2 linked regions of the Astyanax mexicanus genome follow. The protein of the gene in region 1 interacts with the protein of each later gene in a biochemical or structural test. Links are inferred from orthologs where the notes say so. Each region holds a gene or a part of one and is shown in the gene's direction. Other genes may lie near its edges.

Region 1 (8,480 bases):
AGAGAGAGGGAGGTATAAGGAGCAGATACACAGTGCACAGAAAGAGAGAGAGAGAGAGGTGGGTGGAGAGAGGCAGGGAATAGCAGTGTGATAGAGCTCCTCGTGCGCGCGCGTGAACCCTACCTCCAGAGCGTGAACGAGCCTCAGAGAGATAACACTGAGCTTCTCCGCTTCCTCTTAGATTAATATCGCTCTCATTCCTTCATATTAGTACCTGTAGCTTTAACCAGGCTTTAAATGAGCTGTCTGAGAGTCGCTGGAGGAGTTTGGGGAGCGGAAGTTCTTGCTGAAGGAAGGAGGAGCCGCTCGCTGCAGCCTGTAGGAAGGCGGAGTTGGACATCCAACCCCGCCCACATCCAACTCCGCCCATGTCCAACTCCGCCTTACGTCTAAAGCAACACCCACCTTACGTCCGTCACGAACGCCTACATTTACTCCAGGTAAACAGGAATTGTAGCCGAGAAAGCAGCTAAAGCATCTATCTGATTTATATCTCCGGTTATGGCGGTAAGTACAAATATTGAGTTATTTTTTAAGTTAACAGAGCTATTTTTATAATGTCCTCTTGTTTTTCTATATTATATTTTATGAATAAACGGTGAGTCGTTGATACGCACATGAAGGTTCTACATCGGCGCGTGTACCATGTGGTTTGTTTGCTTCTAATCATATTGCCGTTTTTTTTTTGATGGATTCTAATGCAGAATTGCACCCAGTCTTGTCTAATTCAAACTTTAGTTATCTTACCTTCTGTTTTATGGGCTAAAATGCTACCAATTAATGGTATCACAGATAAACTCTCATAGCTAGTAGTGAGCTAGGCATCAGTTTTGTTTTAGGCATAGCTAGGGGTCATAGTCAGCTAACCTAAAAAACTGTTTAAACTGTCTATACAAGAAGTTAATTGGCTAACAAGATAGCAAGATAATCTAGCTAACTAAAATTGGTTCAAAGTCTTAGTCATACAAATAAATATTTGAAGATATCAATGCTTAATCCTCCTATTTAATTTGTCAGGAATAGCAATGGTATTCCCGGGTTAATTTGACCTGGTTCATTTTTAATTATCCAAAATATTTCTGAAACCAAAATAATCCTAACCAGAAGAGTAAATATTTAATAACTAACTCCATTGCTGATTGTTCTATCAACATTTAGTACAATAGTGTACAATAGAGGTAATAGTTCAATTAGGATAATTCACTTGTTTTTCCATTTTAAAAAATCTTACTTTTTTTTTTTGTTTTACTACTTTGTTACTTTTAAACGACCAACACAATATTTTTACATATAAATGAAACATAACATTACAATTTCGTTTTAGTTTTTGCAGGGGGTTGTTGCAAATATGAAATTAACCATTTTCATGTTATATGTTAATTATACAAATAAAGGCAAGCTGAAGACGTTTCATACAGAAAAAATACTTTTACTATCTTTCTAAATGGATCAATTTGACCCGTAACGTAACAGGAGGGTTAAGTCGATGCACATTTATTACCTTTGTACTGAATGTAGTTACAATTAATGTGCACCGATATAGTAATTGTAAGCTCATGTTGTGTTTTGTTGCTTTCTGTTTTACAGCATCCAACACATGTCCAGGCCACTCCTGACCCTTCACGGTTTGGCCAGTGTGGTGTTTTCAAATGCCCCTGCTTACAGTTTCCTTCATCTCTAAACTGCACACCTACAGCACACTTTTATTGTGTCTATTGCAGCCATACAATACTATGCAAAGACCAGTTCAGACATCATGTATCTCTGTGCAGCAGTGCAACCAAGACCATTATAGCAGAAGTGTTTAATCCACAGACTGTTGCTACTTCTGATGCACGTCCAGCTCCCCCTCTGCCAGCTACTCCTGATACACCTTCTCCCAGTTCTGGTCTTGCTTCCTCTGTGCATGGTATTAATTATATTAATTATTATATTTTCCCTCAGGAAAGTTCAGCGTGTTGAACGTGTGACTGATGAAGGAGATAGAATGGGCAACGTCTCCTTTGAACAGGTGTGAGGGTGTGGATGTGTGTTTTTTTTTTATTTCGGGTTAATTTAACTGGGCCATTTAAAATGTTTTACTGTTGTGGTTTGTTTTCAAAAGTCTGAATTGGGCTGAAAAGATAAGTTGACATTATTTGAAATTTCAACTTGACCTAGTGTTGACTAGTCATTTCAAGGACATTTGAAGCCCATAAGCTATTGGAGTGCTATCATTTTAAAGGGATAGAAAAGCAGAGAGCTGTTTTGTTACGTTAAGGCAGAGATTAGTCAACAGAATGAGGCTGACTACAGTCTTCAGGCAAAAATGCTAGCCATTCCTACAGTAATCAGAGATTGGGGATATGATTGAAATAATAAGTGCCAACTCAGATTAATAGAATACCAAAATAGTAATTGGTTGCAGCCTTAGAATGTTATCTGGTCATTTTTTTCAATTACTATAATTTTCATGAATCAAAATCTACATGCTTCTATAATGTTTTTCACAGATGCCCCTTATTCTCATAGATACAGTTCTGGATGAGGGTGACAAAGCTTTTTTAAAGCTGTCACTGGTTTGTCGTCTCTTCCGGGACATTGTTTGGACAACAATCATTCCGGGCCCGGGCACATTTCGAGTGGCTTGACAGTAAGCATGATATTTCAGTACAGTTAAGATGTTTGTTTTCCCTTAGAAAAGGAATTACACTCACTGATTTTGAAATCATTTTAAAATTCTTGATTTTTTTAAACCTACAGGTGTAGTGCCATGAAAACATCACAGTGCTGCATGTAAAGACGAGTTTCGCAGGATGTACGAACTGCAGTGCTGCCAGAACTGTCAAGAAACTTATAAAGACTACATACTGGGTATGTTTGTTCTAAATAAATTTTGATAATTTTTTCCTGAGGTCAGAAATTGGTAAGTCAATATATTTAAGGTATTGGGGCTTGGGAGATTGTTACTTTGTGAAAGTGTGTGTTTTTACTTATATTACAGGCTACGTTGGGCATGGGAGACGAGGGGAGCTTGTGGCATTTTACAGCGAAAACGAGCACCCTGGATTCTGCAGCCAGCTTCATGAATGGCTGGGTGTGTGAGTGGCTGGGTGTGTGAGTGGCTGAGTGTGAGTGGCTGGGTGTTGCATTTTTAAATAAAGACTTCTGTATTTGTTTGACCAAAGCATGTAACCAAACATTTTAAAGGCTAGTGTGCCAATAAATGCCAATAAAGATATTGTATTAGCTTGGACAAAGTGTTTGTAAATGGAGTTAATTTCCCTGGGAACTACTGTCAGCCATACAAAATTGGGAGAGGAGAAGCAGGAGAGGGATATCATTATTATTATTATTATTATTATTATTATTATTATTATTATTGACAAAATAGCTATGTATACATATATTTTAATTTCTGAAACCACAGCATTTGATATATTGTACTCTATCGTTATACACTATCCAGCATACCATTATTACCACCTGCTTGTTTCTGCTTCTATTATTCTTTTTTTAGCTCCAATTAGCATCTAGGACACTTTAGTTGCATAATGGTTTACTGGTGTATAATATACAATAGGTATAAAACACTGTTCACTCTATTAGACACTTCTACCAACAGCTGCTTTACATTGTGAGTGAAAAGTCAGAGACAGAATCTTTAAATCTGTTGCTGCACAGTTTGTTGCAAATCTGCAAATTCTTCATCAGTGCCCATGGGATGCTGCCTACTTGATGCTGAATACAGGACGCTGCCCACATGATGCTGGTTGATGGAGCATTTCCTGTCCAGTAGTGACAATGAGGTGTTTAAATTCTCCAGAGGCACTACTTTGTCGGATCCACTCATACCAACACAGCTCTTAACACCACTATGTCAGTGTCACTGTAGTGTTGTGAATAACCAACAAGCCACATAATAGCTGCTCTGTGGTGGTCCTAAATTGTATGCTATACAGTGCAGCTGTGTCATTCTCATCTGTAATATTTTCAGCACCCTGTTGACAGTGAAGATGCAGAATTACTTCTAATATCATTATTATATATTAGCTATGCCTATGACACAAATAGCCTTCCCCCTGCTGAGTGGTGATAAGAAGCACTGTCTATCTGTAATATGAAGTATAGAGCATTACAGTACAGAGAACAGGTGTGATCTAACAATCAAACACTTTAATAATCAGATGCACCCTTTGACCAGCCTCTACCAGTGCAAAGCCATGATTGATAATGTGCTCTTTATTTCATATGGAACATAACCAAAAACTGTATATCGTAAGTTTTAACTTTATATAATAAGTAAATAATGATTCCTATGATAGCTAATCAATAATTCTGGAGATATTTACCAGTCTAAAATAAATTTATAAAATCTACACACTCTGGCAACTAGTTTAACAAATTTAAATGTAAGGATTAATGCAGTGAAATAATGGCTTACTCTGCTGGTGAGTGGGACAGATTAATGTATTGTGATATACAGGACAGAGGCAATTGATCTTTTGGAAACAGCAAATCGTTGTATGCAATTATTTGCTTATTGTATAAAATAAAGGAGAAATGGCACACGTGATGAAAAAGAAGAGTTCCCTCTGTTACACAGAATGAGTTACCAGCCTCATAAACCACAAGTTAGCAGCATGCCATATAAGAAAAACAATAAAATCATACACTTTTAAGTTCACATGATTCCTTATGTATTACTTTATTTACAATGTTAAACCAAAAATGAATGAGAAAGTGTTTCCAAACTTTTGGCTGGTACTGTATATATAGCCTATTTTTTGTGATATCTGTGCATTACACTACAGCATGTGTTGTGCTGTAGCCAAGGCTACGTGGTGGAACTACTCACAAGATATGCGTAAATTTAGCGCAACATCGGCGTTATATGCGTATTTCACGTGGCACACAGTGCTTCTTGAACAAAAAAGTAGGGGGGTTGGCGTACAAGAGCACATGTGGGCGGAGTTGGATGTGGGCGGAGTTGGATGTCCAACTCCGCCTTCCTACAGGCTGCAGCGAGACGTACTTGGAAGGAAGTGTGAAGAAGTGAGAGAGAGAGAGAGAGAGAGAGGGGGGGGGGAGGAGGAGGAGAGGAGGGGGACTCGCGTGTTGACTAGAGTCTGGGTTTTATTTCAAAGGAGCGACTCCAGCACTCGCTACAAGATGGACACTCTCGTCAAAGAGGGGCAACTTTATGTCCAGCACCAGAAGTTCGGCAAGGTAAGCTGCTCTGTTCTTCCCTCCAGACTTCAGCCTCCCCCCACACTCTCCGTCTGCTGCTCCAAACACCGCGTTGGCTGAGGTTATTTACATCTTAGATAGTCTCAGACACACTTCCACACACTCTCTCAGTAAACTTGAACTAGAACTGTGGTAATAATGGAAGTTCACCAGAACTAAGCTAAACTGCGTGTTATTTACATCTAGATAGTCTTAGACACACTCTCTTAATAGAGTTAAAGAGCTGTGGCAATAATGTAAGGGCACCAGAACTGAGGTAAACTGCGTGTTGCTGCAAACACCAAAGACATTGTCTTAAGTTATTTACATCTAGATAGTCTCAGACACTCTCTCAGTAATTTTAAAGAGCTGTGGTAATAATTTAACAGCACCGGAACTGAGGTGAACTGCGTGTTGCTGCAAACACCAAGGACATTGTCTTAAGTTATTTAGTATTTACATCAGGATTGTCTCAGACACAGTTTTGTTCACTCTCTCAGTAGTGTTATAGAGCTGTGGTAATAATGTAAGATCAGATAGATAGATAGATAGATAGATAGATACTGTGGTAATAATGTAACAGCACCAGAACTTAGATGAACCATGTGTTGCTGTAAACATCGAGGACATTGTCTGAGGTTATTTACATCCAGACTGTCTCAGACTCACTTCTATTAAGGGTGGATATTTACAGAGTTAGCAGAGTTGGACAAATTCATATCCATCTGATGTCACTTACAAGTAAATAAAGCTACATCTCTAAAAGCAAGGGTGTATGAATATATAAAAGTATCACAGTATATTGACACCAATATATGGTATGTATCGTATCGCCAAGTTCTTCCCAAAAAACTGCTCTACTAAAAACAAGCACCAAAACACTACATTAGTACTGAGAAACTTATAGCACTGTACTTTTATTAGTACATTTCTGTATCTCTCAGCACAGACGCTGACGTTCATAAGGTGCACTTGTGGTCTAAATAAAAAAAATAAATTGTAAATCAGTACAAACAACCTGGCATGAATCTGACGACTAATGTGTTAAACACAAGTAAAATAATTTAATCACAAGAGTACTTCTGTTAAAGTAGCATTATTTAAAAATACTCAAGAATTTATAAAAATTAACACTTGAGTACATATAGCTAAGTAAACATTCCTGAGTAAATGTAGAGCTAGGTTAGTCACAGTATTTGGGTTATTGATTCATCATTATACAGTACGTAATGTAATGTACACAATGAATATCTCTACCTGCAAATCACTTCATGCACCGTGTTCTAAAATGAACATCAGTTGGGGAAAAATTTGAAAGCTGTTTCTTGAAGTAAAATTTTGTTAAAAATACAAAAGTAAAAGTACAAATCCATTAAATTCATATTAGAAAACGTGTATCTGCGTAAATTTAACAAGTTGCTACACACTTCTATTTATGTGTAACGTTTGACTGAATAATTCCACTCATTAAAAAAAAAAAACAGAAGTTCAAGAACTCATATCAGTTAATCATAACACATATCTGTAACCATGAGGTCTCGCTCCATTCTTCTCTTTCCTGTGACATGAGATAGTCACATGAATGAGCAGCACAGTCAGACACACACCACCAGCACGACTGCCCTCTGTTTTGGACGTTGCTGTTTACAAAAGGAAGCTTGCATGCTCGAACACAGCGTTCAGGAAAAGCAGTTATTTTCACTGTCGGATATTTAGGTGTAGTTCTACAAAAAAAATTGTATCCAACAGACACACACACATAACTCTTTTCTCACGCTCTGCAATCTATTAATTCACTTACACTAAATTTACAAACGTTTGAAAATGTGTTGCCTTATCTTTTCACCAGAAGCACAAATAAAAAGTGTAAAAATGCTACATCACCTAAACATCTCAGTTCATGCAGGCTAAGCACACTGTGTTAAGCCAGTTTGCTTTTACCAGTATTTCACACTGACATGAATCATGTGACACTCAAATCTCAAGTCTCTAAAATCATAGCCAGTGGCTCTACTTCAGGCTTAGTATCTATTCTTATAGCTTCCTTAATGTGTCTCTTGAAACTATTCTCCCTATTTGGCAAAGGAAAAGTATGAGCAAACAATTTCACATTAGTAACCCTGAGGCAACAGATAAGAGTCATAGCTGCTGTGAAGACCTGTGGATATCGACGTTGTCACACAACAAGCTTTTATTTTCAAAACCTGACAGGAGAAAATAAAATCAAATTTAAAAGTTATTTTTTTATGTGTTTCTTTATGGAACATTTTGCCTTTTGTTTTCTTTAACTTTTTAGCAATTAATTGGCTTTGTTGGATGAGCAAGAGAACAGTTGTGAGTTTGGAACTGCTTACTAGACTCTGCTTTAGGCCAGTCACTGACCTCCTGTGTTGGGTCTTCTGAATTCAGTCAATGTGGATGATATTTCTGCCAGAGTTCTGTTCGCATGGACAGTTTACTTAGTAACCAGTCATTACTTTCTATATGATATATTCCTGATGTGGGTCAGGGAATGTAAAATGCCTGTACAACTTCAGAAATGCAATGTGCCATCTATTTGGCACCCACTATTAGACCTTGCTCAATATCAGACTGATCAAATACATATGTGTGTTGCATTTGTAAGTTTCCCTATTTGATATGATGAGTTATCTTACCAATTTACGTCAGACTGAGTGTAAACAGCAATATTATTTGGCTCAGAGCGGTGACGATTTTAGGAATGGTTAATTCTTGCTTTTAGCTAGTGGAGATGGTACAGTTTTGCATTTTAGTGAACAACGGTTCCTTATTTGTTTGTGAAAAATGTATGTAAAAATGTTAATGTATATTTCTTTGAAATAACAATTTTCGTTTGTGTTGTTCCCATTTTGTTTTTGGGACATTGGCCTATATTTAGTCTATATTTGGTCCCATCCTATCACCCTTAGACTCTGGGTCCAGATAAAGCTGCTTTATGACAATGTGCATTGTAAAAAAGTTTTCTACAAATGAAAGCTGATTTGAAATGAATTGATATATACCGATACGTAGGCTGAGAAAAAATGCCTGCTTAGCTGCTAAGCTGGGACAGAGGAAGTTGACTTTGCGTCTGAGGTGACAGGAGTGTGAACATGCAGGACAAAATTATTTTAATACTGCAGAATGTGGAGCGGTTTGCTTTCAAGGTTGGCTCATATGTGTAGGTGGGGTTGGAGGTGTTTGGGTAGTTTCACAGTGTCGCTTGTAGGATATCACCTATTGAGCTGAACCCAGTTCTGTTAACAGTCATC
Region 2 (8,104 bases), on another chromosome or scaffold:
AACCAAAGGAACCTAAGACTGAATTTCTGGTTATAAAAACTGAACTTCTGGTTATACCCGTGAAACTCAGAAAAATTTGACTGTTTCTAATGCAACAGGCCACCCAACTCCTGGTACAAGCAGTGGTCATCTCACGCCTCGACTACTGCAATGCCCTACTAACTGGCCTCCCGGCCTGTGTAGTAAAAACACTCCAGATGATTCAGAATGCAGCAGCACGTCTGGTCTTCAACCAGCCAAAACGGGCACATGTCACTCTGCTGCTCACTGAGCTCCATTGGCTACCAGTTGCTGCTCGTATCAAATTCAAAGCTCTTACAATCACCTACAAGGTGATGACAGAACAGCTCCTTCCTACCTGCACTGATCACTCCTGAAGGCTTACGCTACCTCCTGGCCGCTGCGCTCCTCCAATGAACGCTCTGCTCTGCCAAACATTCACACAAAGCAATCCAGACTGTTCTCATACAGAGTTCCCCAATGGTGGAACAAACTACCTTCCACTACCAGATCAGGAGAATCTCTCGCTTTCTTTAAGAAACTCCTGAAGACAGAGCTCTTCAAAGAGCACTTAATCTCTTAACACCTCTAACAAACTAACTACTTCTAACCTCATTTCCTTCTTCCCTTCCTTCACTCCTCTATCCCATTATTTTTCTTTGATCTCCTTTAGGCCCTATCTAAAGATGTTTTTTCCTTTAACTTCTATTACTTTGGCAATTCACTATTGTAATTCGCTTTGGACAAAAGCGTCTGCCAAATGTAATGTAATGTCCACAACCACCTTATACAGTCCCCTTTTAGTTCTGGGAAGCTGTTGATTTTGTTTCCTCTTCTCCCGGTTTATAAGGGGCGGCCAGGCTTCTCTGGACAGCTTTGTTTAGTTACCCCTCGCTTGCGCTCGGCGCAAGTTTGTTTCTGCCCTTTTTAACAGTTCTCGCGCTCTACGCGATTCCTTTTGCGCCTCTTCTCGGGTCTCCATCGGTTTACGGGTTTTTGTTTTCTGCCAGTTTTCCAGTTTTTGTTTTCCAAATGGGTTGGGTTCCTGTCAAGTTTTTACCTGCTTCATATTCTGCTCCTCTGCACTTGGGTTCTACAACCTTCTAGCCTAGCTAGTTCTTCTGCTGTCCATCTTTGCTTTCTAAAGCAGGCTGCTGGTAGTAGGCGGTCAGTCAAAAAGCTTGGAGATCAGCCAATAGCATTGCGCTGAGAGAGATGACGCTGACTCCGCCCCCAACTGTCAAAACCATAGACGTAATATACATATATACATGTTGCATATTTCAAAGTATTTCAGCATGAAAGCACGTACTTTTAAGCACGTACTTTTAATGTATGACAGCGTCCTGTATCATATCTACATCTTTGCTGTTTGTGACAAACCAAACTGCGTAAAAATCGCTTAAAAGTTGTGATTAATATAGCTGTATGAAACACCTTCCTCAGTACAAATTAACGCACTTGAGGTGCATGGGAGACCCAATCAATATGGCCGCAGGCATTGCACATAGTGTGCGAGGACAACTGTGAATAATACAAGGAAAAAAACATTGAAAAGTAGAAAAATTAAGCTTAAGAGTGATATTTTTTTTCAGAGAGCATACATTTTTTTGTGCTCACGAGTTTCACAATAACCTGGTGTTTTTGTGCCCCGACTTTTGACATTAATGTGACGCCATAATATCATCTTGATGCTCTCAGAAACAGTAGCTGGACTCTGCAAGGATTGGAACAGGATAGACATGGTGCTAACAGTCTGTCTTTACAGAGTTGGAACAGAATAGCCTTAATGCTAAAAGGCACAGGGTTGGAGCAGAACATCTGCAAATCTAACAGGCAGCAGGACTGTAGCAACATAGCAGTGATGCTCACAGACACAGCAGCTGTAATAGTCCTGTTGGAGCACAACTGCTATAAATCTAACAGCTAACAGGGCTCACCATGATTAAAGCAGAATAACCCTGGTGGTGAAGCAGGTTAGCTGTGATGCTAACAGGTACAGCAGTTGGGAGTGGCTGGAGCAGAAGAGCTGGTGGTAACGTTGTAAAGTGGAAAGAAAATCCAGAAAATTAAGTGCTGTGTACAAAAGTATTCATCCCCCCTGAGTCAATACTTTGTGGAACCATCTTTTGCTGCAAGTATTTTAGGGTTTGTCTCCACCAGCTTTGCACATCTACTGACTGAAATTTTTGCTCATTCTTTCGTTGCAAAACAAGCTCAAGCTCAGTCAGATTAGTTGGAGAGCGTTTGTGAACAGCAGTTTTCAGATCTTGCCACAAGTTCTCAATTGGGTTTAGGTCTGGAATTTGACTGGGCCATTATAACACATGAATATGTTCCAGTTTCAAGTCTTTTGCAGACTCCCAACAGGTTTTCTTCCAGGATTGCCCTGCATTCCTTCATCCATCTTCCTGGCTTCATCCATCTTCCCATCAACTCTGACCAACTTCCCTGTCCCTGCTTAGATTACACACAGGTGGACTCTTTTTAGTTCTTAAAATAACTGAATACCTTTGCACACCACACATTTCAGTTTATTTGTAAAAAAAAATTTTTTAAATCATTCATAATTGTCTTTCCACTTCACACTTGTTAACCACTTCGTGTTGGTCTTTCACATTAAACTCTAATGAAATATATTTATGTTTGTGGTTGTAGTGTGACAAAATATGAAAAAGTTCAAGAGGTATGAATTCCTTTGCAAGTCACTGTATGTGATGTGTATATTGTGTTCCTTGGCAGCAATAAATGTTATGTTGATTTAAACAGCATAATTCACTCATAAAAGGCCAAACCTCACATAGAATAAATCGTTGATAAACTGTTTAACACACAACACTACTGTACTTTTGGAAACTATAACACTATAACACAAAACCTTCAGTCTTAAAAATCAGGGTTCTTTATGTACTTTACTTAGAACCATGACAACCAATTGGAGGGTTCTATGAAAAAAGTATTATACTGTTGTAATATATTGCACAGGACCCTTTTCCAGTACTGTATGACAACTCAAAGAACCATTTGAGGAGTTCAATATAGCATTTTAAACAAGTTCCAAATAGTGTTGTATGTTAAAATCCCTTATTGAGTACTACTAAATAAACCCATTTTAGAGCTTCCTGTATAACACCATTAATACCTAGAACTCTTCATTGGATTTATGCTTTATTCTGATGTAATCAAGCACTGCTTAGTCTGGTGTTGACCTCTTGACCCCCCCTAGGTCTTGTTTAACAAGGAGATTCATTTTAGAGAAGTGTTCTCTACAGGCACAATCTGGTGCTAAAACCTCTCTTCCTATTTTATTCTCTTCCTGTTTACCAGTCTGTAGCCTGTCTGTTGTTCTCATGGTTCACAGGTTTAGCTGTGAACTCAGTTTAATAAATGAAACAAAGTGGTCTGAGCCACTCACACATACTTTGCTTGGATCTACTGATCCTAATTATAAACTGAATTAAATTATATTTTAATTAGTGCTTTTAAAGTAAATTGTATAAGATCAGTACTGAATCTGCAGTGAAATTGACTAAAATAAACAGAATCACAGTGCTGAATGGAATCAGTAGTAAAAGCTACTAAAATATATCAAATCACAAGTGTTGAACCTCATGGAATCGTATGAGTCCTGAACTAAATCATATCAGACAAATATTGAAGATTCAGGGTTGAATGTGAATGAACGCAATCGTATGTACAAAGAAAAAATAAATAATGGCAGATATATAATGAAACTGAATTGAATCAGAAGTCCTGAAGTTGATTGTCTCTTTAGTAAATTGGTAGTAAAAAGAACTAAACCGAATCAAATCATGCTAAAAGTGCTGAAACGGAATTGTGTTTGGTTAATACTGAATATATATATTTTTTTATTTAACTAAACTGAATCAAATCAAGTTTTTAACTGAATCTGAAAACAGTAATGCAATAATATGAATGTAACAAAACTGAATCATATAAAATCCTGAAACGAATCAAATGAGATCATAATGTAATAGTATGAATTTTACTAAACTGAATCAAATCATGTCATCATCATCAAGTCCTGAACTGAATCATATAACGTTAGTAATGGAATAGCAGGAAATTAATGAAAATGAATCAAATTATATGCCTCTTAAATTGAGTTAGATCAATAGTGAATCAAATCATAACAGTGCTAACAGAATAGTAACAGATCTGCACAGAATCACTGAAGTGCAGGACTGAATCCTGTCTTTAACAGTGAATCGGTAGTGAATCTATCTAAACCAAACCTTATTATAGTCATTCATTTGTCTTATCCACTTCCTCATGGAATTGTAGGAGTGCTGAACTGAATCATATCAGACAATATTGAAGATTCAGGTTGAAAGTGAACAAAAGGGTATGAAGAAAGAAAGAAAGGCAGGTATATGATGAAACTAAACTGAATCATAAGTCCTTAAGTCAATTGTTTCTTTAGTAAATTGGTAGTAAACTGAACTGACTAAAATGACTCAAATTACATACATCTTAAACTGAGCTATATTAGATTAGTAGTGAATCATTAGCCACTTTGAAGTGAATCAAATCCTAACAGCGCAAACAGAATTGCAACAGATCTGCACTGAATCACTGAAGTGCCGAGCTGAATCATGTCTTTGAATTGATAGTGAATCTAAACCAAATCTTATTAAAGTCATTCATTTGTCTTTTCCACTTCCTCGTGGAATCGTATGAGTGCTAAACTGAATCATATCAGACATGTATTGAACATTCAGGATTGAATGTGTGTGAACCGTATGAATCATATAAACAAAGAAAAAGAGTGAAAGAAAGAAAGAAAAAAAAGACAGGAACTGCAGAGTCTCACATTTGTTAGTCAAAGCAGAGGCAGCGTGGAGAGACGTCACCGACACACACACACACACACAGACCGCAGGTGGCAGAGACTTCCTGGACAAAAGAATCCGTCAGCACTGAGCTGCGGTCAGTCTTTGTTTCCTGGTCATAGCGAGTGTGTGTGTGCGCGCGCGCGTCTGTGTGTGAGAGAGAGAGTGAAAGAGAGTAAGTGTGTGTGAATGTAACTGAGCTGACAGTTCAGACGGAGCGGACACGGTACTGGACAGTCAGCCCGGCTACCGGACACAGAACACAGGTAAACACGGCTTCATTTCATTCGCGTGTGTACGTGTTTCCGAAGCGCGCGTGTAAAGAAGTGATTGCTCAAAGCTGTGCTTTACACTCACACACTGTCGCAACGCAGCGGAGTTCAGAGTTCAGCGGCTGGAACTCAACGGTGGAAGGACGGTTAGTCTGTAACGGCTCCCGTGACGGTTATAGAACTCAGACACGCGTGCGGGAAACTCACTTTTAGGACGAGTTTAAATGTTTAAATTTTTAAATATTTTGGAATGTTTGACGGTTGGTGTTTTAACGATTTTATAATGTTTAGTTCTATCAGCTCTCTCACTTTATCTGACCAATCAGAGCATAGGCCTTCCAGTGTGTTAAGCGTCAACTTTCACACACTGTAAACCCACAAGTTTGTTTCACAAGAAATTAGATATTTCTTAACATTACTGCTCAGTGTAAGGTTTATCAGTTGGGTGTAAAACGTATTATTTAATTTTTTGTCTGAATGTATTTTGTCCATTTAGCATTATCAGGAAGAAACTGGTTCATATATATATATATATATATATATATATATATATATATAATATATACTTTTCTTCTTTTTAATTTCTGCCTGACCTGGATCTGAATTACAGGAAAAAATAAAATACATCTTACAAAATGTTTTAAGTTTAACATTTTTTCAGTAGGTTGGATTATTATACCATCAGGTTTTTATTATAAAGTATAAAACTTGTAAAAATCAAAAATCTGAATAGAAATCTTTTTTTTTTTCATGTATATCTGATCATGATGAGCAGAAATGGAAAATTTTGATTTTGAAATTTGAAATAATTAAAAACCCAAATTCATCTTTAATATATAGAATGGAAAACATTAAATTATGAAGTTTTACACACAATTTTCTATTTTCAAATTTAGCCTGAAACGTTTGGAAAATCAAACTGATAACCGTCACACTGAACATTACTTAACTATTTTGAGTTAGCTGAACATTTGTGAGCACATATACATTCAAATGGAGATCTTTTGAGTTGAACCAACTTACCAAATTTTTTGCATTATAAGGCACATCAATAAGCATATATTTTCTGGCCTATTTTCATAGATAAGGCGCACTGAATTATAAGGCGTATTATGTGTCACTAGTAAGTGTGACACATAACAGGGGTTATAACAGGGGTGTCGCCATGTTTTCCTTCTAATTCAGGTGGTGCGAGACCTCTAAAGCTAAGCTTAGTTAAGTAAACAAAACTGTAGTTCTTTTAAAATCAAAGAAGCACTGGATGTTAATCTACACCGATTACTCTTTTAAAAAACTGTTTATTTGGGTGAGTAATGGGCTTTTGTTTATTTACATTAAGCTTAGATTTCCAGATTTCCACCAATGCCACCTGACAGAGCTACACTGAGGAACCTTGAGTGTTCCGGTAAGATAGGGTGATATTAGCTAGCGGTTTGTCCCATTAAGCTTTTTTTAACCTGGTAAACATGCAGACTACAGTCCGTTATACTCACCCCTATACGGCAAAAGAGCTAGCACTTAGCACGGTTAGTGGGTAATGCAAATGCTGCTCCAGCAGTGCTAGCCGGGGTTAGGAGCAGGCTACAGGCTGATAATACTCACCTCTGAATGGCAAAAGAGGCTAGTGCTTAGCGCGGTAAGTGGCTAATGCAAATGCGGCTCCAATCTCTGTGCTGAAACTCCTGTATAACACTGTACTTCTGCGGAGTGGCTTTACTGCTCCTTACAACCTGACTGGTAAAATGCATACATAAGGCTCATCGATTTCAAAGGCGCACTGATAATTTTTTTTAAAGCATTTTCTCTTTTAGTGCAAAATATATGGTATAATAAGTTGAGTTTAGTCTATTGCCACTGGCAGCTTCTTTTTTTTACATTACATTACATTACATTTGGCTGACGCTTTTGTCCAAAGCGACTTACAATAGTCAAGTACAAAAGTAATAGAAGTTAAAGGCAAAACATTTTAGATAGGGCTTAAAGGAGGTCTAAGGGAAATAATGGGATATAGGAGTGAAGGAGGGGAAGAATATGAGGTTAGAAGTAGTTAGTGTGTTAGAAATGTTAAGAGAGTAAGTGCTCTTTGAAGAGCTCTGTCTTCAGGAGTTTCTTAAAGATAACGAGAGATTCTCCTGATCTGGTAGTGGAAGGAAGTTTGTTCCACCATTGGGGAACTCTGTATGAGAACAGTATGGATTGCTTTGTGTGGATGTTTATTGGAGGAGCGCAGCGGCCGGGAGGCGAGCATCAACTGGTCGCCAGTGGAGCTCACTGAGCAGCGGGGTGACATGAGCCCGTTTTGGCTGGTTGAAGATCAGACGTGCTGCTGCATTCTGGATCATTTGGAGTGGTTTTACTACGCAGGCCGGGAGGCCAGTTAGTATGGCATTGCAGTAGTCGAGGCTTGAGGTGACGACTGCTTGCACCAGGAGTTGGGTGGCCTGTCAGAAACTGTCTAATTTTTCTGATGTTATAAAGTTCGAAGCGGCAGGATCGAGCAACCGAGGCCACATGGTGCGTGAAGGAGAGCTAGTCATCAACCATAACACCCAGGTTCCTAGCAACCTTTGTCGGTGAGAGAGAGTCGATGCTTATAGAGAAGTTGTGTTGAAAAGATGGTTTTGCTGGTATGACCAGAAGTTCAGTCTTTGAGAGATTTAATTGAAGGTGATGCTTTTCCATTGGCTTTTGGAACAATCTATTTCTATTCTGGGTGTATCCTCCATTTTTTGACTCTCACCATCAGTGTGTAGTGATTCCCCCCTGGCTACCTTAGGTATATGTGTAGATCATATTTTATGATTAACTGTCTGCCGTCTGTGTTGTAGACTGTAAGAACAAGGATCATTTTAAGAGCTGCAGTAACCCTGTGTTGACTATGCTCTCATTACTGTTCACTCTATAGCTAATTTATGTGAATTAATGATTTTGAGAAATGACTCCTACTGTAAGCTTGCTTTGTCTACTGAATCCCGTTAA

Evidence for each region.
Region 2: of the proteins of dok1b (region 1) and tec, one has a biochemical effect on the other in vitro, tested with the Homo sapiens proteins (2 studies listed by BioGRID, with this or other methods). The link is inferred for Astyanax mexicanus from reciprocal best matches to the Homo sapiens genes DOK1 and TEC.

What each region holds. Positions count from the first base shown.
Region 1 is NC_064415.1:19,729,728-19,738,207, reverse strand, and holds the start of dok1b (docking protein 1b), read left to right. Parts: upstream 1-5,054; 5' UTR 5,055-5,151; coding exon 5,152-5,208; intron 5,209-8,480. UniProt on the Homo sapiens protein: DOK proteins are enzymatically inert adaptor or scaffolding proteins. They provide a docking platform for the assembly of multimolecular signaling complexes. DOK1 appears to be a negative regulator of the insulin signaling pathway.
Region 2 is NC_064420.1:25,653,272-25,661,375, forward strand, and holds the start of tec (tyrosine-protein kinase Tec), read left to right. Parts: upstream 1-4,230; 5' UTR 4,231-5,119; intron 5,120-8,104.